Oreochromis niloticus: one gene and its partner. The protein of the gene in region 1 interacts with the protein of each later gene in a pairwise test. Links are inferred from orthologs where the notes say so. Each region holds a gene or a part of one and is shown in the gene's direction. Other genes may lie near its edges.

Region 1 (11,237 bases):
GGCCTTTCGGTGAATTAAAAAGACACCCCTTTCCCCCTAATGATGTGGGCGGTGCTGCTGCTCCTTTTCCATTTGCTGCTTTGGGTGAGCTTATTGCCCCCTCCCTGTTTCTCTGTGCGGTTAAATAGCACGGCGCTCCACTCCACAGTAGACACCCCACTTTGCAAAGAGGAAAGCCAACTAAATAAGAAGGCCTAAAAGGAAAAAAAAGAAAAAGAACAGCAGCACTTTAACATGTACTCAAACAAAATCGAAGGACCACGTAGAGGAAGATCTTTTGACTCTATGAACCTCGGCTTCGAAGAAAAATTGCTGAACAATGAGGTAAGAAGGTCACAGAAAGAGAAGAAGAAGGAAGGTTTTATTATTCTAGAAGATATATCTTAAAGAAACTCATTTATCTTCGATAAAATAATAGAAACAAACAGGATGAAGAACTTTTGCTTTGTTTTGTTTTTAAGTGACTTTTTTGGACAGTGGTGGGGAGATCGGTGCGGGTCATCTTAACGAATAAGCTTTCACTTTGTCGTCAGCGCAGATTAATTTAAGCCGTTTTGTTATACCGTAATTTACGTCAAAGAGTTAAGAGGGTTAAAGAAAGAGAGACATCTGAATTTGGTATGATAAAAGAAGCTTCAGTGCTCACGCTGAGCAACCTTCGCAGACAGAGGAGATAAAAGATAAACCGATCAACCTGCAGTATGTGATGTCTCCAAGCACATGCAAGGGGAAAAAAGAAAAAGAAAACGCTGACAGGTACTCCAGGACAATATCTCATCTGTTTTAGACATGGAGATAAAACGAAAAACACACATGTTTAAACTGAAATTTAAAAAAAATCAACGACGTTTAAGGCAGTTTTCACAGCGGAAAACGTCACTAAATCATATTAAAGTAAAAGATGGACAAATTATACCCCCATGCATGCAGATGCAAATGTGATCACACCTGTTTAAAAAAAATTATTTTTTTTTTTATAAGTTTCTCGTTGATACCCCTGGATTAAAAAAAAAAAGATGATATCTTTTTATTTCGTATTTATTTCACAACTATAAAAAGTAAAGTATTTGATGAGGGGAAGCGATGTTCTCCCACTTAACGGCCTAAAAAACGTGCGCGCTATAGTGATTAAGAGCTTCCCTAACGTGTGGCGAGATTTCAGAGTGGAGGGGAGCTAATAATAGGCTTCCCCGCTCTCCAAATGAGATTGCTGTAAGGCGATTCCTTGAGGCAGAGACAAGTTCATCTTCGTTAAACCGAGACGCAAAAAATTGACCTCAGGCAGCGTCCTGATCCAGACTCCATGCACTAATGCTTTCAGGGATACTACCGGCAAGGGCTTACCGAAAACTGGTGTGCCGCGCGGTCTACACCATGTACGAAGGGCGAAGTGTGGTAGGAAATAATTTAACTGAATTTAATTGTTTCACGTGAGGGGCGTGATCCTTTTAATCCCGTCTAAACGTTGGACTTTGGCATTATGTGCTAATTGTTTGATGACAAATTCTAAAGTATTTTGGGGGGGAGCGGGGGTTAAGTTTGTTTGTTTTTTTTGTTTTTTAAAATTTCTTAATAAGCAGTATCAGTATCAGCAGTAAAGGATAAGACTTTGGAGTCAATCAAAACAGATTAGTTATTCTGTACTGTTGGCATCTTAACAGCCTCGCTGCTAAAATCTGAGGCAGGATTAAAATAATTTTCCCCTGGCGTGTGCAGCGCGCACAGGCACGCGTCAACGTGAGAGCGCTATCCGAGGTGCTGAACTGGACAAAGAAGTTGGTCAGCCTTAATCTGAGCCCTGCCTGTGCGCATGCACTGCACTTCCATTACTCATTTTTTACACCAGCGATATCAAGAAAAAGCCAATGATTCCCTTTAGAGTAACAAATATACCTGCCAGTGTATGTTTTAAACACTGACTGACTGTCTGCAGTTCTTTATATTTATAGGATTACTATTGTTGTTATTTAGGATGGTTTTATAGTCTTAAGTAATTAGAAGCTCTGCATCAAGTCTGTGGATAAGGGTATTATGTAGACTTTATTATTATTTTAAAGCCAATTTAAATTGGCTAGCAAAAGTTCATTTGCTCCACTGTTTTTTTTTCTCCCTATTAAACACACCTGAATTTCTCTGTGTTTGTTGATCATTTTCAGATAAACAAGTCAACCTTTACCAAAATTGAAGAAAACAACGAAAAGAAGAATTCATCAGAGAAAGGGAGAGCGACAATCATCTTTTCCTTGAAGAATGAAGTTGGGGGGCTTGTAAAGGCACTCAAACTCTTCCAGGTACATCCCCCAACCCTGCTCCTTTTTACCGAATGACTTGATTGCGACACATTTTTAGCTTTGAAATGAATAAAGAATTCTTTTGTTTTATTCTCGCAGGAAAACCACGTGAACCTTGTACACATTGAGTCCAGGAAATCCAAAAGACGCAACTCTGAGTTTGAAATTTTTGTGGACTGTGACAGCAACCACGAGCAACTGAATGAAATCATCCAGCTGCTTCGGAAGCATGTGAATGTGGTGGATATGGAGCCTCCAGATAACTCCTGTCTACGCGAGGAAGGTGAGAAAGTAGTGAGTGAATACACTCCAGATGCTGAATTAAAGGTACAATATTAGATTTGAACACCTTTTTTCTTCTGTTCTCAGATATGTATGAAGTACCCTGGTTCCCAAAGAAGATTTCAGATTTGGATAAGTGTGCTAACCGAGTCCTGATGTATGGATCTGAACTGGATGCCGACCATCCGGTACATTATCAACATGCTGCTTCACTTCAGAAAACAAAACCAAACTCCCTTAAAATGAAGCATTCTCATATTTCCTACGTTTCTCTTTATCAGGGTTTCAAGGACAATGTCTATCGGAAAAGGCGAAAGTATTTTGCAGATCTTGCCATGGCCTACAAACAGTAAGTTTTGATCTATTTAAATGTCTATTGTATTTTTAAAAAATCATGATTCTTATGGAGTTCTTTCTGTCTTTTTCCAGTGGAGATCCCATTCCTCGTATTGAGTTCACACAGGAGGAAGTGAAGACTTGGGGTGTTGTGTACAGGGAGCTCAACAAGCTGTACCCCACCCACGCCTGCCGGGAATACTTGAAGAACCTGCCACTGCTGTCCAAATACTGTGAATGTCGAGAGGACAACATCCCTCAGCTGGAAGATGTCTCACGCTTCCTCAGGGGTAAATTATCAATTTTGATTAAAATATTCCTTTGATTTAAATCATTTTGTTCACTTTTAACAGTGCAATCACTCATATATTTTCACTATCTTTTCAGAACGTACTGGATTTACCATCAGGCCTGTGGCAGGTTACCTGTCCCCCCGTGACTTTCTTGCTGGTTTGGCATTCCGCGTTTTCCACTGCACCCAGTATGTGCGGCACAGCTCCGACCCCTTGTACACCCCTGAACCGTGAGTACTAACCAAAACTATATCTAAATATGTAATGTAAATGTTAATTCTGGTTTTAATATTTGGTTTTCTTTTATTATTAAGGGACACATGCCACGAGCTGCTGGGCCACGTCCCGCTGCTCGCAGAGCCCAGCTTTGCCCAGTTTTCTCAGGAGATTGGTCTCGCTTCACTTGGAGCCTCCGATGATTCAGTTCAAAAACTGGCCACTGTAAGAGTCACTGCTGCAATCTAATTTTCAAACAATATTTATGAAGATATTTCTTTTTCAAAATCCAACAAGGTCATCCTAATTGCTTGTGTTCGTCTTCTGGGTTGCAGTGCTATTTCTTCACTGTGGAGTTTGGTCTATGCAAACAAGAGGGGAAGCTGCGAGCTTATGGAGCTGGACTCCTGTCATCTATCAGTGAGCTCAAGGTAGACATCCAAACAGGATGGTACAGTGGGCACCTTTACACAAAGAGCTTTAAAAACACAGACAGAATAGTCTTTTTACGTTATAATCTTGATCAAATTCCACCTCAAGACACATAATAAAGAATCTTTATTTGATGAGAAAATATAGATGTACATTTATTAAATGATCAAGTTGTGTTTTCAACATCTCCACTGTGTTTCTCTCTGACAGCATGCGCTCTCTGGTAATGCAAGGATAATGCCTTTTGACCCCAAAATTACATCCAAGCAGGAATGCATCATCACAACGTTTCAAGATGTCTACTTTGTGTCAGACAGCTTTGAGGAGGCCAAAGTCAAAATGAGGTGAGCTTAATTACTCAGCATTTAACTTGTACACTATAATATATAGATAGACCCAGCAAGAATAGCAAGTAGGCTTTTTAAGCTAAACTGCTGATTGCATATTATTTAATATTTTGTTCATTTCAGGGAGTTTGCCAAGACCATCAAGCGTCCCTTCACAGTTCGATACAACCCCTACACCCAGAGTGTGGACGTGCTAAAAGACACTCCCAGCATCAACAGTGTGGTGGAGGAGCTGCGACACGAGCTTGACATCGTCGGTGACGCACTCAGCCGGCTGAACAAACAGCTGGGTGTCTGACTGCGCACAGTTCACATGGAGTTACACCGACAGTCTGTCATCCCCGGCACTGCTGTAGAGACGTTGCTTGTGTGTTGTCCTTTGCCAGTAACATGAATGAGCATCGGTTTTAAGCCAAAATGCTCTGTTGTCTCCACTGCATGGTTTATATAGCTTACACAATTTACAGGTGCACTAGGTATGTTTAGACACTAACTTTAAGATATTTGACAAACCCAAAGAGCTGCTTAATCTGAGGTACTATTTGGCTTCTATGTTGCAAACAGTTTATGTGCTTTGATGGTACTTCAGTTCACTTTTGAAACACTTCCAGCTGTTACAGACACCTCCAATTGTTATTTCTGCTTTTGTATATGATTGTGTGAGTTTTCTTTTCTTTTTTTGTAATTCATTTCATTCTTCTTCTTCATGTTTAATACTCCTCTCTTCAATGAAATGTTTAAAATGTACCTTCTTTGTATTTGTCTTTTGGTGTGTGTGTAATTTTCCTTTTTTGTGTGCTGTTGAGGGAAATTATGAAAGTGACACCTTTAAATAGCTGTTGTTATAAGAATGCTCTTGTGATTGATTATGATCGATTTGGCCCATGTCAGCGATTACTTTACAGTGATGATTTTGAATACCTCCTGTTGAAGTGAATTCAATTGTAGAACTCCAGAAATCAAGACATTATTTTTCTACTGTAAAGAAATATAGACATTAGAACTAGGGTTGTGAATCAAACAAAAAAAATTGAATAAAAAAGTCCTTTGTGTGTTTATAGCATGTCAAACAGTTGTTTAATTGTTGATTTACTACTTTTATTAGTCCTTGTGGATGTAACTTTGTTATTGAATCCTGAGGATGATGCTGCTGTTGATGATAGAGATGCAAGATGATGGCAGCGAAGACTCTGAAAGTGATTATAACAATTATTTTGAGGCTGGAGTTTGCAAAATCTCAATAAAGTGTTGTAGAAAAAAATATGCCTTTGATCTGAGAGCCAAGACACTTATTGCCTAATGAAAAAGTCCAATCGGGAACAGAACTTTCCAAGACAGGTAGCAGAAATATCAAGCCTGACTCTTAAACGCATTTCGTGGACACGTAAATGGCGTCATACAATTTTATTTTCTATTATGTTGTTATTATTATATTTATATTATTTATTTATACTTTGAGGATGTGATGAATGAAGACCGGAAAGGTGCTAGGTCCAGATGATAAACGTGGCGATAACGCACATGCAAGGGTGCCAATAGAGGAACCGCACCAGAGAAATATGTGAGGGTAGTGCAGGACATCTATAAGGACAGCAAGACAGTGGTGAGGTGGGGGTGGGATAACATCAGAGACTAGCCCTTGTTGTTTTCAGTGGTGGTGGACAGACTGACAGAGGTCAGGCAGGAGTCTCTGTAGACAATGATGTTTGCAGACAGCAGTATGATTTGTAGTGAGAATAGAGCAAGTGGAAGAGAGCCTGGAGAGATGGAGGTATGCTCTGGGGAGAAGAGGTCACTAGAAGCAAGACAGAATAGATATGTGTGAACAGTGTTACAGTGAAGATGCCAGGAGGAGGCAGCAAAGGTGGATGAGTTTGAATACCTGAGGTCAGTAATCCAAAGGAACAGACAGAGCAGAAAAGAGTATTTACTGCCCAGCTTAAGAAATTGGTCTGATTTAACACATTAAAACTATAACTTCAAGAAATGATACACATAAGGGTAGCTCATATTGAAAAGGTGAATCAAATTAAAACTTAGGCATAATAGTGCTGCCCAGATTATTCTAAATTTGTCACCTGAAGAATTTGATCATTTAACATTAAAGTCGTTTTTTGTGAAGCTGTAGTCTCTTCTGTAGTGGCGTTACAATCGATACTGAAATATCGATTCCTCCGATACCAGATATTTATAATCTAGAATTGATTCTCATATTAAAATATCAACATTTTAGTAATGTGAGGTAAATTTGTAGTTTATGATTAACAAAAACACATGGGAGCGTAACTGTATTATTGGGATCCTAGGGACTACTTCCACCTGTCGTGGTGATATGCGAAATACGGTGGTATAAATGCATCAGGGCTTATGTGTGTTCACTCTCTCAGTCAGTGACAGTGGGTGATAGTAAGGCGAGTCACGTGTGGAGCTATTTCAGCTCCACAAACAGCCAAGACGTGGTTTGGGAAAATCACAAACTTTGTCAAACACAAACAAGTTAATCATAACGATGAGTTTATGTTGAGGTGAATGTCAATTGTGGAGTCCTTTGGTGCTTCAGGCAGGTTGTAGTATCCTGCTTTAAAAAATCCACCCATTATTTTACCATATATTATGTATCTGTATGTTAGATATTGTTAGATATTACATTTCTAAAAAGTCATAACTTAGTTTGTAACTTTTGCCACTCATATATCCGTTTCAAGCGCCTTCGCGACAGTGTCGCAAAGCATACTTGAGTGTTTAGCCCAGATACTCATGGAAACACACGCACGGTTGGAGTTTTGTTTACATTCTTGGGTAAGTTTGTTATATTGAACGGTACACTGTAAAAGTCACGTATATCTGGTTGTGTAATTCCTTTATTTGAATGCAAGGAACAAAGTGACTCTTCAATTGGAAACGCAGAAGACGTAGCACTTTTGCTAACGTTAGCTTAACTAGCGTCCAAACTTACTGTCTTTACAGGTGAGGCGACAAAAAACAGATGTTAACATCTGGTTCACGCTCACCTGAGCACTGATAGTAGTTGTCGGTCTGTCATATACTTTTATTGAGCTGTGCTGTTTCTGTCAGGGAGCCAACAGTTACGGGCAACTGAGCCAGGGACATGTGGAGGACCAGGCTTCGCCCCGGCTCTCTAACATTGCTGCCCTACAAAACAGGCCAGTCCGGGCTATCAGCGGCGGTGGGGGACATTCCGTAGTTATTACCGGTACGTAGCCTTTCGTCCTATATTAAACACAAACTTCAGCCCACCTGCGAATGATGACGTTTTTAGTCGGTTGTGGTAATGTGAGCAAGACTTTCATAGGTCACGTAGCGCCTCCTTCTGGCCAGTGAAATTAATTGTTTGTTTGTTTTTATGTTGATAATCTGTTTAATGCAAAAAATTATAAATGATCTAACAGCAAACGGTAGAAGCAAACTTCCACTCAGTTCAGTCTCGTCTGTTTAAGTAAATGTCTAGAGTGAGTGTGCAGGTGTAACTGTCCCAAAAATAACACATCTAAGTAAAATCTTTGATTGTTCCCATGTTGCTGTGCTGGACAGAGAGTGGCGAGGTGTTTGTGTGTGGACAGAATAACAGAGGCCAGCTGGGACTTGGCCACAGTGCAGACATCTCAACTCTTCAGCACTGCCCCATCCTGAATCAGAGAGTCACAGACATCGCCTGTGGTTGGGATTTTACTCTTCTTCTCACTGGTGAGCAGTCAGCACCGTTTCCTACCAGGAATTTTTCCTCATTTCTATTTGTACTCTGTTTAAGGGTGATATTGCTAGCCAAAACACAGGTGTTTCTTTTGGGCAGGGATAATAGATCTTTTATGGCAATGTTAGTTTTTATTCTAATATAACATTTTATTATATTTGAATAATACAATAGATGAATTGTATATAAAATAAAATAATATAGCTGTGTTATATTAGAACCTTCATCATATTATATTATATTAGATCTAATTTTCCTGAAAGTGCAGATATATTACACTTAGACCATTATGATACATATGTTTCTAGAAAAAGGGTGAAAAAAACTCACATTTATTGCTATATTGTCAACAAAAAAAACCCTACATATTTAACACAGTCAACCCATGCTTGAGGAATTAAACAGAGCATAGCTGAGAAACAGTAAGAATGGGAATAACAGAGGTCACCTTAACTACCTTCCACTCACCCAAAAGCGGAATTTTTCAGTGTGTCTTAGATAAAGGCATATTTCTTTTCCTGTTATGGCACACTCTCAGACGGTGGGCAACTATTAGCATGTGGTTCCAATGTGTTTGGGCAACTGGGTGTTGGACAGACTGTGACACACTCTGCAGATCTACTGGTTGTTGAGGTGAGAACACAATGGGGGTGCAGTTTTTATAAAGTAAAGGTTTTAATTTTTTTTTAATACGCATTCAATACATCTTGAGTGATCTGCATTAGTATAAATTATCTTTACTTACCTGCCATCTTAATCACTTTCATTAAGGCAGATGTCATTGTGCTGTTTGTTGACAGAGTCTGATGGAGCCAGTAGTTAGTGTAGCAGCAGGACTCCGACACTCACTTGCTGTTACTGGTAAGGTAGCACTGTGAACTGCCCTCATGTTTTTTTAACATCTGGTTACATGATTGGTTTGTTTTGCCTGTCTTTATGTTTCTTTGTCTGTATGTTTCTTAGCTGTATTTATAAAAAAAAATATATATATATAGTATGAACTTGCATGAAAACTTTATCAGAGTTGGGAATTAGAATGGATTACATTTCTGGACTCAGTCCAAATCTGGATCCTGAAAAATGGGATATCTTCCAAAATGCATATCGAATTTAAACTTTGGCTTGATGTTCTAAAGAAAATACCATAAACCAGTCTGCATCCAGATATCTTTCATCTCATAGGACTTAGTGCATGCATGGTGTGAAGGGAATTTTCAGTCTTGGTGGAGGTATGCACTCTGACTGCTCCTGTTTTTCATTTGACAGTGAAGCCGTAAATCCTGTAATTCTGTTTGACTTTCAGGCTCAGGCTGTGTTTATCAGTGGGGAACTGGTCTTTTCAGTTATGCTAAGAGAGCACTCAGTCCACATGCTGTCCCATCTCACTTTAACTCTAAGGTGCCCTGTCTGGTACCAGGTAACGTAAGCTGTACTGAACATAAATAATTATTAATTTATTCTATTATTGGTGATTTGTAGATGTGACAGATATTTATGACCTTGTTGCAGGTCTGGATCAAAGAATATCACACCGGGTAACTGCAGGGTCAGCACACTGTGTGTGCCTTACAGGTAGGACGGTAGTGAGTTGCTTCAATATGTTGTGCAAAAATAAGCTATGTATTTTGCACTGCTCATTCATAGGGACAATTTACACTCATAAGCACTACCACTGTCTTGATCTTCTTTATCATATATCAAGTCTGCCCTCTCTGATGTCCTGTAATTAGTTCACCAGATCATCTCAATTGCTGTTCTGCTTTTCTGCTGCCTGTGCTGAATGAAGAGTAATGCTGTCGCTGTCATGTGTGCAGGAGATGGCGATTTGTTTCTGTGGGGAAGCAACAAGCATGGTCAGCTGACCACCACAGAGTCCTTCCTGTCTTCTCCCACTCTTCTTAAGCGATCTCTGCTGGATGGAGAAAAAGTGATAAATGTGTGGAGCGGCTGGACTCATATTGTTGCTCAGACAGGTACTCGGGTCTGTGATGTTCAGTAGTTTTTACAGGATTTAGAGGACAGTTGCTCAAACTGAAAAAACAATTCCATTATCTGTTTCAGAGAGCGGGAGAGTGTTCACATGGGGAAGGGGAAATTATGGACAGCTGGGCCGCCAAATATCAGCCAGTGAGGACACAGAGCAGCAGCCAGCTGGCCCTGTGGCACAAGGTGGCACCCAGGAGGTTGGACTCCCTGCAGAGGTTGAAAACCTTCGTGGAGCAACACAGGTAGGAGTGTTTAGCACTTCGCCAGATGGCAGAACCTATAGCTGTGTTGCAGTCAGTAACAATTAAATGTTTCCTAGACTTGTGTTTGGATTGTTGGTCTTGAGGATAGTGCTGTGGAAATTAGTTTGAAAATGCCAGTAGACGTCCAGCAGGAGGCAGCAGACAGTTACAGTTAAACAAATTAGCTCTTGATTGTTTAGTATAAGGCGAAGCATGTTTCCCCTGAACAGAAGGTTCTTAATGATTTGCATAATTATCCCTTATGTACAAAGCATACTCACACTGTCATTATAGTTCAGCAGGGGAAAAAAACGACTTGTATTTATCAGTGAAGGCAGTTTTCTCTTCTCCCGTAAGGACAGTTACATGTGAATGGGATTGTAGCAGTTAACCTGTAGTCTCAATGGTGACACTATGGTCATTGCCAATAAAGCGGATGTCAGGGACAAACAAGGACAAGCGCTCCTTTCATCTTTCCACTGCGCGCAGATCATTGCAACAACACATAAGGTGTCAAAGCTTTGTCACCTTGCGTTTTGAGCATGAAGTAAGATGAATTGGCCGAGTGGGATATGAATCACTCAGGCCACCCTACTCTGTTAAAGCACTGTACATATACACTGACTGGCCACTTTTTAGGTACATCTACCAACAGCCAATCACATGACACCAACTCAGTGCATTTAGGTATGTAGACGTGGTCAGGACGATGTGCTAAGGTTCAAACTGAACATCCGAATGTGAAAGAAAGGTGATTTAAGTGACTTTGAATGTGACATGGCTGTTAGTGCCAGGAGGGAGCCATGTGAGCATTACTGATGGACAAATTTCAACCAGTCAGTGGTTCATGATCAGTGGGTCAGTTTCTGTTAATCACTTGTTTTCTTTGTCAAATACAGTGCTACATGCAGTACACTCATTTATTGGTTAAAGTGCAAACATACATGGAAATACAGTAAATAAGGAAAAAACTGGGTTTGGACCTTTTTAACGAAGCTTAAAGTTGATAGTTGTTATGGCTGCCTTTATTCTTTATCACTGCCTGAGCTCTCTTAGGGAAGCTTTGTTGTAATTTCTGTAAGTAGTCTTCAGGAACAGTT
Region 2 (11,574 bases), on another chromosome or scaffold:
TTGAACCAGGCTGAATAACAACAACACACATTCATCAAGAATCTAATATGGGATTGCATCATACTATGTCACCGTTGTGAGGTGGCGACAAGGCAAAGCAAACGTAACCTATGTTTTACCTGATGGGTACAATGTTGCTGTTGAGGGGTTTCTGCTGCTGATAGTGCTGGAGGGCAGGGCTGTGTTGATCTGAGACTGTAGACAGTAAAAAGTTCATAGGAGAGATGGTAGCTGATTAAACAAGTGTCATGAGATAATAACAAAATGCAAAGAACATAACAAAATGCGCTTGGAACCATAAGGCAACAAAAAACTGTGAGAAATAAACTCGGCTCTGCCTGTGAATCACTCTGCTTCTCTTCTTCTTTCCATCCCCTCATCTCATCTATCACTCTCCACTTGCTGTCTATCTGAGAACAAGGCACAACTTGCTTTTGCAATAAACTATTATTTAATTATCCATACTTAACAACTCCTGCACTTAATCTATAATAAAATGATGACAGAAAAATGTTATAGAAGCAAAACATTTCAGTTGTGCTTATTATTATTTTTATACTGGAATACCTCTCCAACAACTGGTACATGTGTTAATGTTACCTGTGCTCTTTGTAATCCAGCTGCTGAGGGATCCACTGCCTTTAGTAGCCTCACACAGCTCCTACTGTTTCCTCCTCATGTCCTTACCAGCCATGTCTGGACAATGTTATATCATGAGTAATAATTTAAAAAATCTATTCACATAAAACACACACACGCACACAGTGACATTTTAGACCTTCTTCAGAATACTGTATATACTGTGGGCATCATGGTGCTGATCCAGAATCCTTGCCTTAATATTTATTACTAGAGCTACAATAATAAAGCAATGAGGGGGAAAAAAAGGAATAAATATGAAATAATGTATTTATGATGATTCCATTTGTTTCAAAAGCCCTGTAACTTACTCTGCCTCTCTTCCTCCTTCCATCTCCTCATCTAAGCTATCACTGTCCACTTGCTGTCTATCTGAGAACAAGACACAATTTGCTATCGAATTAATCTATTATTTAATTGTCCACACTTAAAAACTCTTGCACCTAATCCATAATAAAGTAATGACGGAAAATGTTGTAGAAACATCCTTACGAGGCATGTCTGGTCTGTGTTATATCATGTGTAATAATTTTTAAAAATCTATATACATAAAATTAAAAAAAAAATCCTCAACAAAAGGGCACTTTGGGCACCCATCAGGAAAGGGGCGGGTGCTCAAGCCCTTCTGCCCCCGCCTCTGCACGTGCCTGCAGCAGAGTGAAGAGAGTCTTATAAAGCCAATTTTTAGATCACTGCTGGGTCCAAACAAAGCACCTGAAGGACTCTCAGAACATGAGAAGCAAAATTCTCTGGTCTGATGAAACAAACATTAAACTCTTTGGCCTGAATCTGTAAATGTGGGAGTGTTATTGCCTCATCTAGAGCCCAGACTTGAACTCTATCAAATGTCTCTGAAAAGGGCTGCCCACTGACAGGGCTCATTCAACCTGAGTTTAAAGGAATTTTAAAGAAGAGTGTCAGAAAATTCCCTAATCCCATGTGCAAAGTTTGTGACATCATAATTAAACAAACTCAAGGCTGTAATTGCTGCCAAATGTGCTTCAAGTAAGTACTAATTAAAGAGTGTTATGGTATTGAGAATATTTCAGATTTTTTTTTATTAATGAACTTAAAAAATGTTGTTTTCAGTTTGTCATTAATAGAGAACTGAGTGTAGATTAATGAGAAAAAATATATAATTAAAAAAAACTGTATTATCAGAATGCAACATTAATATCAAAGTGAAGCCAGTTTAAATACTTTCTGAACATGGTTTCAAAACTACTTATGTGGTAGAAACAGCAGTGTCTAAAGAGTGCAGGAGAAGTGTCATTGCCATAAATACAGGTGCTCCACATAGACCCATTCTTGGATCTCTTAAATTCACCTCATACACAAAAATGAAAACTGTTTGATTTGTAAAATAAACACAGGAATCAAATTTTGCAACATTGAAATGTTGTTTTCAGCCTTCTAATTATGTATTTGTGTATTTTTGTATTTATTTATTTTTAATCTCATTTTTAAAATTTAATTGACAAGTATTTCTTTTACTGTTTTCCTTTAGGACTTCATGTTATGATGTGTAACTTTTTCATTTTCATCTGTAGTTTTCAGAAAGAAGAGCAGACCAACCTGACATCAGTGCAATCTCGGCTGTGCATCTACTTCAGCCTGCTGGCCTTCATCATCACCTTTGTCTCTGGAGTCCAAAACTCCAGCAGACAAATTGACATTGAGGTGCAGACTGACGATCGGACCAACAACCTCTTGGACTCGGACGAACACGTAGAACCAGACCGTGGTTCGTGTACGGCTGTAGCAGCTCTGCTGCACTTCCTCCTGATGACCACCTTCATGTGGAACAGCGTGAACGGTACTCAGATCCTGATTCAGAAAATGCGCCGCAGTCTACCACCTCTCTGGACTCTGCTGAGCATGGCTCTGGGATGGGGTAAGACATTCAGAAAAATCAGTTCACGCATCTTAAACTGATTTGGACTTAAATCTGACAAGCTGTTTATTCTTGAAAACCCTTCAATCTCTCTCAATTAATGAAATATTATGTTAGGAGTGCCAGCCTTGATCGTGGCCATCACACTGGGGGTGACCTACAGGGTGAACAATCCTCTGGGATACAGACAGGAGGAATTGTGGGTAATCACACAAACCACATTTAGCTACTTTAGACTGACCTGTACTTCACAATGAACAAAAGTCCCATTTTTACCAATATTACAGTGTTGTTGTTGTATGACGCTACTCACAGAGATTCAATTTGATACAATCATTCTCCTGTACAACTTGTTTAATTAATTTTTTTATCTTTACAAACTTTACAATGGTTCTTCTTCGTTTTTACCAAAGGTTAGACAAAGTTATTTATTCATATTATTTGTATAATTCTTTTTCATGTTACTGAAGTTGCTGGCTGGCAGCGCTGGATAAGAACAAACACTTCAGCTTTGAGAAACCTTTGTTTTGGGGTTTCCTCCTTCCAGTCGGCCTGATCTTGATCTACAACATCGTCCTGCTGGTTTATGTGTCCATTAAAGCAACCAGGAAGTCCTGCTTCAGGAAGAGTTTCCTTGAATGCTTCACTCTGGCTGTGTTACTGGGTGTGTCCTGGGTTTTTGGGTATCTGGTCCTTGTCACTTCAGGAACAATGAACCTGGTCTTCAGCATTTTGTTCTGCCTCTGCACAACCACACAGGTAAGACTCTACCTTCTGAGTTTAAAACTTCAACTCAGAGTTTTTGGTTAAATCTCACTGAATCTCTAATTTCATGTACAAAGTAGAAATATAACCTACAAACCAATGTGAGATGGCTAAGAGATGGATGGAGGGTTATGATATGTGAGACACTTTGATAAACATCTCTTTAAATGAATACTTATCAAATATTAATGATAATTGACAGGGCAACTTTACATAAAAAAAACCAAACAAAAAATAATTATTTTTGATATGACACACACACACACACACACACACACACACACACACACCACAAACGATTATTTTGATAGTCAACTAGTCACCGATTATTTTTGCGATTAGTCGACTAATCAGATAATGCATAATAAGAGCAGATGATAGTTTATTAAATTTTTAATGAAATTTCCAGATTGTCTCGGTGGAGTTTAATAAACTCAGCCGTCTGCTTCTTGCTATCTAAAATATAACAGGACACTGGAGTATATTCTCTACCATAGGGGTGTCCAAATTCATGGGCTGCATCCTCCTGAGGCCGCATTTGTAGGCCGATTACGTCACAGCGACGCGACGAAGGTAGACTCCTCTGAATGCAGCCGACAAATCCCAGATAGCAAGGAGACATTGAACTGATGTTGATTTTTCATCTGATCCATCATTGTCAGGATTGAAATGTCAATGAAAAATCAAACTAAGGAACAAATAAAACACTGAAAAAAGCCAAACAATAACATTTTCAATTTATCTAAGTGGCTTATACATCATGTTTAACCTGAGTAGCAAAAGACCGCGGTGGGTTTGAAAACGATGTGCCGGGAGTTCGATGTTCTTGCCGGCTCTAGTGAGCCTTGAACCCCAGCTAGCTATCGAACTCGTGGGTAACAGATGTCTCCGAAAACGTTGGAGGCACTTTTACAAATATGTGATGTGTTGATAAACCGAGCAGATATTTGAAGTGTATGTATAATATATATATATATGACTACATATAAAATAAAAGAAGCTCCTAACATTAAGGTGAATAAGGAATAAGGAAGCAGACTGAAAGGAATAACTTTTATTTTCCTGCTCTGTGTTTTCAGGGTTTTCATATTTTTATCATCACAGCCACAACACCGACCTTCAGAGCCGCCATGTCCCGATCAGTTCAGTACCTTTCTTCAGCCAGGCCGATTCGCAGAAACACAAGGATGAGGTCATGACAAGCAGCTGACCCATGACCTGGGGATGATTTTAAGAGGGTCTGCATTAAATTATTTTTGATGTGAACATAAACAAAATAACTGCATCAGAGTCAATTGAAAATCACAGTCATGATCACATCAACAATAAACCTCCAGGACAGTCACGTGTTCAGGAACAGACTGCAGGTATGAAGACTGAAGATTTTATGAAGATTTTATTGTCATTTTAAGCATTAGTGTTATTCTGCAAGCTGCTCGTTTTACTGATCTGAAGCGATTAATGTTGGTAAAAGTGTCTACACTGGCCTTGTAACGAACTACAGTGACCCAGGTGGAAAAAGCAGTAACTATTCCTGCTTCCTGATCATTCTGATCTGACATCAGACTCGAGTTCAGCAGATATATATACATATACACACACATGTATAATGGTAAAGGAAAACAAACAAACAAACATAATTTTAATGTCTTTTTTAGGTCTAAATTTGGTCTAATTGGTCTGAACTGGTCTTTTAAGGGAATAAACTGGTTTCAAATGGTCAGTCATTTTTAATTAATGGAATAATTTATTCTTACTAAATGTTGATTATTTAAAAAAAACAACATGTTTTTTTATGGTCTGTGCTCTAATTAAAATTGGGGGGGGGGTTGTTATCTTTTGTTGGCTGCTTTGATTCTATGTCATCTTACAGACTGCAGACAATCCAATGAAAATAATCATATATAAAATATATAATGTAATCCAAGAAAGCTTCTGAAAAAAGCAAAAATACAACTTGCCTTTATGTAAGTGTCAATTTAGCAAGTTTCAATCTGATATTAACGTCTGCTCCAAACATAACGATTCGCTGAGATTAAAAGCCATCTCAAATAAAGGATCACAAAACTCCCATCACAGGCCTTCGGGGTAGCTTTTACCACCATGTTGTAGCAAAACAACACATCCTGTCACATGAAGACTGAGACAGAGGAAACTAAACTACCACCGATAATAAAAATACCATGAAGACCAAGACCATGAAACCAGAAACACAGGATGAAAAAACTGAAAGTCATCACTACAAGAACCAAGAACAGCAATCACAGAGTCATCATCACAAGAGCTAAACAAAACAAATCAAAACAAGAATCCAACAATTCAATAAACACAGAAATCAGAAGATTACAAAAATAAAAACAAGAAATCACAGAAAAATCATTTCAACCAAACCTGAAGATTAAATTAATGTCAGTCTGAGGTTTCAGTCTTTTAAACTTTATAAACAGGTGAAGAAAAAATACTGAATATCTTCAACTTTCATACCTGTAATATCAGCTCTATGTTCAAACTTCTGCTGCCACATCTCTACTGAGCATGTGCAGAGAAAGTTTCAGCACTCAGCTTGTTTCTGCTTGGAGGAAGTGAGAGCTTCCTGTGGACCGACAGGCTGTGGGCTGGGCCTTCGTTGTAGTCAGAGGTGATTCTGAGTCTGTTTGAGGCCTTTGGGGGAAAATGTCATTTTAATAACTTTTCACTGATCCAAACATATAAAATATCTTCCTTTGTATTTAATTTTGCAGCAGTTCGGAGATTTCAGTGATGATATGAGAGGTTTAATTTTTATTTGTTGGCTTTTATTTTCATTTTTTAATAAAGAAATCTTTATTAAAATTATTTTTGTCGACAGTGTTTCTACCTCGAGCCGTGTCACCAGAAAGTATGAAAACATTTTCATGAAATCATCTTCAGGTCATTTCAATCCATCATCACTGTCACGCTGCTTAGTGATCTGTTGATTTTCAGGTTGTGTGTTTGTTTTCCTCCTGCTCTGCTCCGTGTACGTTTTTTGTTGTTTGTTGCGAATTACCATCAATGAAAACTGAGTTTGGACCCGAATCCTGCCTGCCACACAGCCTACCCTCGACAATCTCAGCCTTGGTCTTAAATCACACTGAAATCATGTCAGCAGAGTTTCTGTTGGGCTCAAATTTAAACATTTTTGAATGGTGAGCCTCACCAGCACACACAACAACAAACGCCACTGAAAAACAGTCTAAAGGCTTCCGGAGTTTGCCCTTTAAAACTGATCCTCAACATCATCTAAATGTCTTCTTCTTATTATTATTCTTATTCTTATTATTATCAAATGTCTGGTTGACTTGTTGTATCTATTAATCCTTTACATATGTATTTTTTTAGTATTTATTATGAATATAAAGGTACAATGGTTGAAATTATATTAGCTGGGTTCTCTGATAAATTGGCTCCTTGTAGTGGACATGAGTGGGAACTACAAGCTACAGTCGTAGTTAAAAAAGGGCAAAAACACAATAAAAAAATTTTGTAGCTCTTTAAAACTCAATATTTTCACTATAACTTATTCTATTGTTCTTTTACTGCTCTTATTTTTCACTTTTCCTTATTTTACATTGACCGCGTTTGTGTTATTGTTTTGAGAGTTGCGTCACAGCGCTGAGTCAGAGGTTGTGTACGTCATCACACCGCGCTGCAGGCACGCTTTGCCGGTGCGGATCTGGCGCTGTTCTGTGTGGACTTTGCGTGTGTTTAGGGGAAAATGTCGGTGTTTCACGACGAAGTGGAGATCGAGGACTTTGAATACGACGAGGATACGGAGACGTATTACTTCCCGTGTCCCTGCGGAGATCGCTTCGCCATCACCAAAGTAAGTTCAGCTCACGGCTAACAGCTACAAACCAAACTTCAGTTTGAAATCTCCCGTTTTTACATGTTCATACAGTGGGTGATTTACACGGAGGACATAACAGAGTTCCCCACTCCCTTCATTGATATAGTCTTGTTCTGGTTTCGGCAGGGATTTTTTGATGGCAGGTTGATATATGTCCGTTTAAAAAAAAAAAAGTATTTCAACCTTCCTTTCGGAGTTGCCGCAGAGGTGGGACGTAAAATCTCTCATTATTTGACTGAAGTTTGGTTTGGTGTTAAGCTAAGATAAACTTTTATTAGTCCCACACGTGGGAAATTTGTTTGGTCACGACAAAAAAGTGGACAGTACAAAGTTAAGAGCAGCAAAAATAAAAAAAAAAAACACAAGAATAGAAAATAATAAACCAGCACCATACTTTATTCTCAGCAGTGAAACTCGACATCAGTGAACGGAACCAAACTCCATTTAAAAGTCTTCAAATTTAAGAGAGTAAAAACGTTTAAACAAATCAAAGCCTACTGAGTAATTATCAGTCATTTCTTGTGACATCATGAAACTTTATTTTACATGGTTTAAGGTAGAAAAGACGATATTTTAAGTAGTTTTTTTTTCTGAAATAGTAGAAACTTGTAGCTGAAGTGAACTTTAGCTCTCTTAAATTCAGGAACAAGATGACAGTTCACCATATCAAGACTTCCTTCATGTTAGCAGGCTGAAGAAATCCTAAAACTGCAGTGAGTTGCAGCTTATTTGTGGGTCTCTGCCTTCAGTGACTAAGAGTTGGCTCTTCTGTGCTGAAATCTGACATTTGAAGGATATCTAATTTCTTTGCAGGTAGAATACACGGATGTACAGGAGGGAAATTTAGACTTTTTCTAATGGAGTTTGGGTGTTTTTAGTGGTATGTCGTATACTGATGGAGATGATCTCTGTTTCTTTTTCTTTTCTTTTTGAAACAATAAAACAAAGAAACAGTTTGGAAGAAATGCACGCATGGATGCATCTGGCATACCTGAACACTCTAAAACTGAAACAGATACTCAGAATAAGCAAGAAGAAACTCAGACTTTATCAGTTTTAATAGTGTTTGCCTGCTCAGCACCATCCAAAGATTCATCCAGGAAAGTCCGACTTCATGACGAGTTCTTTATTTGTAATTCACGAAGCATCCCAAACTTGCGACTGCAGTCAGTGTCTTGCAGTTTTTACACTGTCCCTACACTTTGTCTGTCTGAACTCTGTTCCTCAGACTTGGTGGCTTTGCTGCAGTGCTCTGAGGGGAGAGTTTATTCTTACAGGCAGCATTTGTGTCGGGTGGCCTGTGGTACTTTTAATCCTGCAATTGTTTGATCAGGTAATGCGTTTTCTCCAAAGGGTGGCTGGCCTTTCCCTCAGAGATGGGGTGAGAAGGCCAGTCAGTTTGAGGGTGTCAGGTAAAGATGTTACTCCTGCACATTAAAAGGAGGCAGCTGAGGTGTTAAGATCACAACATACTGGGAGAACCCAGAACTACTGGAGGTAGCTGAGAGAGGGCTGCTGCCCCCATGACCCAGCCCCAGATAAGAGACAGAAAACGAATGGCAACATGTCGTAGATGGAGAAGAGTGACCGTACAATCTTGATGATTTCTTTTATGTGACAGGTGCACAGATTTCAGATCAGCCTGGCTACAGTGCTGAAGAGAAACCTGGGGTTGTTCTTATTTTCTTCAATCAGTGATGAGTAGTAAGCTGTTTAGCTTTATAGAGGACTTTCTTATAAAGCAACAAACTATTTCTCCAGGCTAAATGATGATCTTTTAAAATTGTGACACGCCATTTCCTCTCCAGCTTATGAGTTATCTGCTTTAGGCTACGTGTTTGAGAATTATACCACAGAGTCAGGTACTTCGGGTTTGAGACCTTAGTTTTCACAGGAGCTACAGTATCCAGAGTCGTACGTAGTGAGGAGGTAAAATTATTAACAAGACATTTGAGCCCTGTTGGAGTAGCGTTCAGGTAGCTGCTCTGGTCTATGTTGGTACAGGGCATTGAAGATGATAACAGTGGGTGGATTATATTCTTAAACTTAGTTACAGCGCTTTCAGAAAGACATCTACTTTGATAAAGTCTACTCTCCACTGCTGTGTAATCAATTATTGTAAATGTGAATGTTATCAGGAAATGATCAGACAGCAGAGGGTTTTCAGGAAACACTGTTAAATGTTCAGTTTCTATGCCATATGTTAAAACAAGATCTAGAGTGTGATTAAAGTGGTGGGTGGGTTCTTTTACATTTTGAGAGAAGCCAATTGAGTCTAATAACAGATTAAATGCGATGTTGAGGCTGTCATTTTTAGCATCTACATGGATGTTAAAATCACCCACAATAATTATTTTATCTGAGCTGAACACTAAATCAGATAAAAAGTCTGAGAAATCAGAGAGAAACTCTGTGTAAGGCCCAGGTGGACGATATATGATAACAAGTAAGACTGGTTTCTGAGTTTTACAGCTGGGATGGACAATGTTAAGCATCAGGCTTTCAAATGAATTAAAAGTCTGTCTTGGTCTTTCGTTGATTAATAGGCTGGTGTGAAAAATTGCTGCCACACCGCCCCCTCGGCCTGTGCTTCGAGGTTTCTGGTAGTTAGAATGACTCGGGGGTGTTGATTCATTTAAACTAACATACTCATCCTGCTGCAACCATGTTTCTGTAAGGCAGAGTAAATCGATTTGTTGATCAATTATTAAGTCATGTACTAACAGAGACTTGGAGGAGAGCGACCTAATATTTAATAATCCACATTTCACTGTTTTACTCTTTGGTTCAGATGTGGATACTGTATTGTTCTTTCTTTGTGATTTCTTTTTATGTTTAAGGTGTTTGTTGCTGGTTTCTTGTTTGTTTTTCATTTGTTTGGGAGCTGACACAGTCTCTATGGAGATGGGTTTTTGGAGGTAACAGGAGGAGAGAAGCTGCAGAGAGGCGTGTAAGACTGCCACTCTGCTTCCTGGTCCCAACTCTGGATAGTCATATTTTGGGGGGATTAATACATTTGGCCAGAATTCTCAAAATGAGAGCTTCTCCATCCAAAGTGGGATGGATGTCATCTCTCCTAACAAGACCAGGTTTCCTTCAGAAAGTTTCCCAGTTATCTTTGAAGCCCACATTGTTTTTTGGACACCACTCAGATAGCCAGCAATTTAAGGAGAACATGCGGCTAACCATGTCACTCGTGGACTGATTGGGGAAGAGAGGGGAATAATCCACAAAAACATTCAAACCTCGACAGAAACCTGAAGATTTTATTTGTTTTTATTTTGAAGGAGGACCTGGAGAACGGGGAGGAGGTGGCGACATGTCCGAGCTGCTCGCTCATCGTTAAAGTCATCTACGATAAGGTATCTGTGACTTCCTCTTTTCAGTTCATCCATAAAGGCCTCAACGAACAGTTATCTAAAAGGTTTCTTGTAAAGTGACGAAAAGCAGCAAATTCTCACTTTAGAGAAGCTGGAAATCACTTTGTTTTATTTAAAGTACCTTCAGTGTTTATTTGATCTAAAATGTTTCCTGTGATAACACCAGAATATTTCTCATTATTTGATCAGGACAGTTTTATATCGATCAGTTAAAACTTTCAAATAAAAAAAGATGATAGAAAAGAAAAGATGCAATGCAGCATCATAAAAACCTCTGAAAAGTACTTTTACATTACTTTTTTGTGTTGGGGACATTAAACCGTCATGCTTTTATTCTGCAAATCATTGGTGAATTGTTCGTGTAAATTATTGATTTTTTTTTTTTTTTTTTTTTTTTAAAAAAAGTACAACTTTAAATTTAAGACAGATGGATAGTACGGGCCGTCGCTACCTGTCAATGAATGACAGGCTTTTTTTGTGTGTGTGTTTCAGGATCTTTTCCAGGTTGGAGAAATCATTGAAGCTCCGTCACACGCCAAACTGGAGGTCGCTCAATCCTGAACCTTCTCACCTTTGACCTCACAGAGACCCCGGTTTAACCATTTCCCGTTTCCCATCTCGACGCTCTGTTCAAGTGGTGCTGGGAAACGCCAGACTTTCACTGCCTCCTGTATTTCCTCCAGATTTATCTTGAATGAAATCACACTTGATCCAGATGAAATCTTTCAGAAGACGCAAGGTCACGACGTTCATGTGTTTGATGGACTTCCTGCGGATTATGTGGGAGGACGAGCGTCTAGCCGAGGCATTTGCTGTGAACAGATGAAGGTTGCGCTTTAAAAAAAACAAAGCGTTGGTTCCTGCCTCAACCTCGCCGCTCTTAATGCACATTCAGTCTTCCACTTTAAAGCTCAGGAGGACGAAGGAAGCTCCATGTTAGGACTGGCAGGTTTCTTTAGAGCTTTTATTTTGTAGTTTTCAGATATTTTAATATATATATATATATTTATATAAAACCTCCACATACA

Evidence for each region.
Region 2: the proteins of sergef (region 1) and dph3 interact in binary tests that used the Homo sapiens proteins (3 or more experiments, as listed by UniProt). The link is inferred for Oreochromis niloticus from reciprocal best matches to the Homo sapiens genes SERGEF and DPH3.

What each region holds. Positions count from the first base shown.
Region 1 is NC_031972.2:50,492,635-50,503,871, reverse strand, and holds the start of sergef (secretion-regulating guanine nucleotide exchange factor), read left to right. Parts: upstream 1-6,600; 5' UTR 6,601-6,714; coding exon 6,715-6,722; intron 6,723-6,902; coding exon 6,903-6,996; intron 6,997-7,272; coding exon 7,273-7,411; intron 7,412-7,749; coding exon 7,750-7,902; intron 7,903-8,447; coding exon 8,448-8,542; intron 8,543-8,709; coding exon 8,710-8,770; intron 8,771-9,212; coding exon 9,213-9,326; intron 9,327-9,418; coding exon 9,419-9,481; intron 9,482-9,723; coding exon 9,724-9,882; intron 9,883-9,970; coding exon 9,971-10,137; intron 10,138-11,237. Other genes in the region: tph1a (tryptophan 5-hydroxylase 1a), read left to right, coding at 235-324, 2,157-2,291, 2,391-2,574, 2,661-2,761, 2,855-2,922, 3,003-3,199, 3,297-3,432, 3,517-3,643 and 3 more. UniProt on the Homo sapiens protein: Probable guanine nucleotide exchange factor (GEF), which may be involved in the secretion process.
Region 2 is NC_031986.2:28,440,157-28,451,730, forward strand, and holds the start of dph3 (diphthamide biosynthesis protein 3), read left to right. Parts: upstream 1-6,922; 5' UTR 6,923-7,034; coding exon 7,035-7,142; intron 7,143-10,453; coding exon 10,454-10,528; intron 10,529-11,038; coding exon 11,039-11,107; 3' UTR 11,108-11,574. Other genes in the region: adhesion G-protein coupled receptor G7-like, read left to right, coding at 2,190-2,533, 2,651-2,732, 3,004-3,292, 4,378-4,497.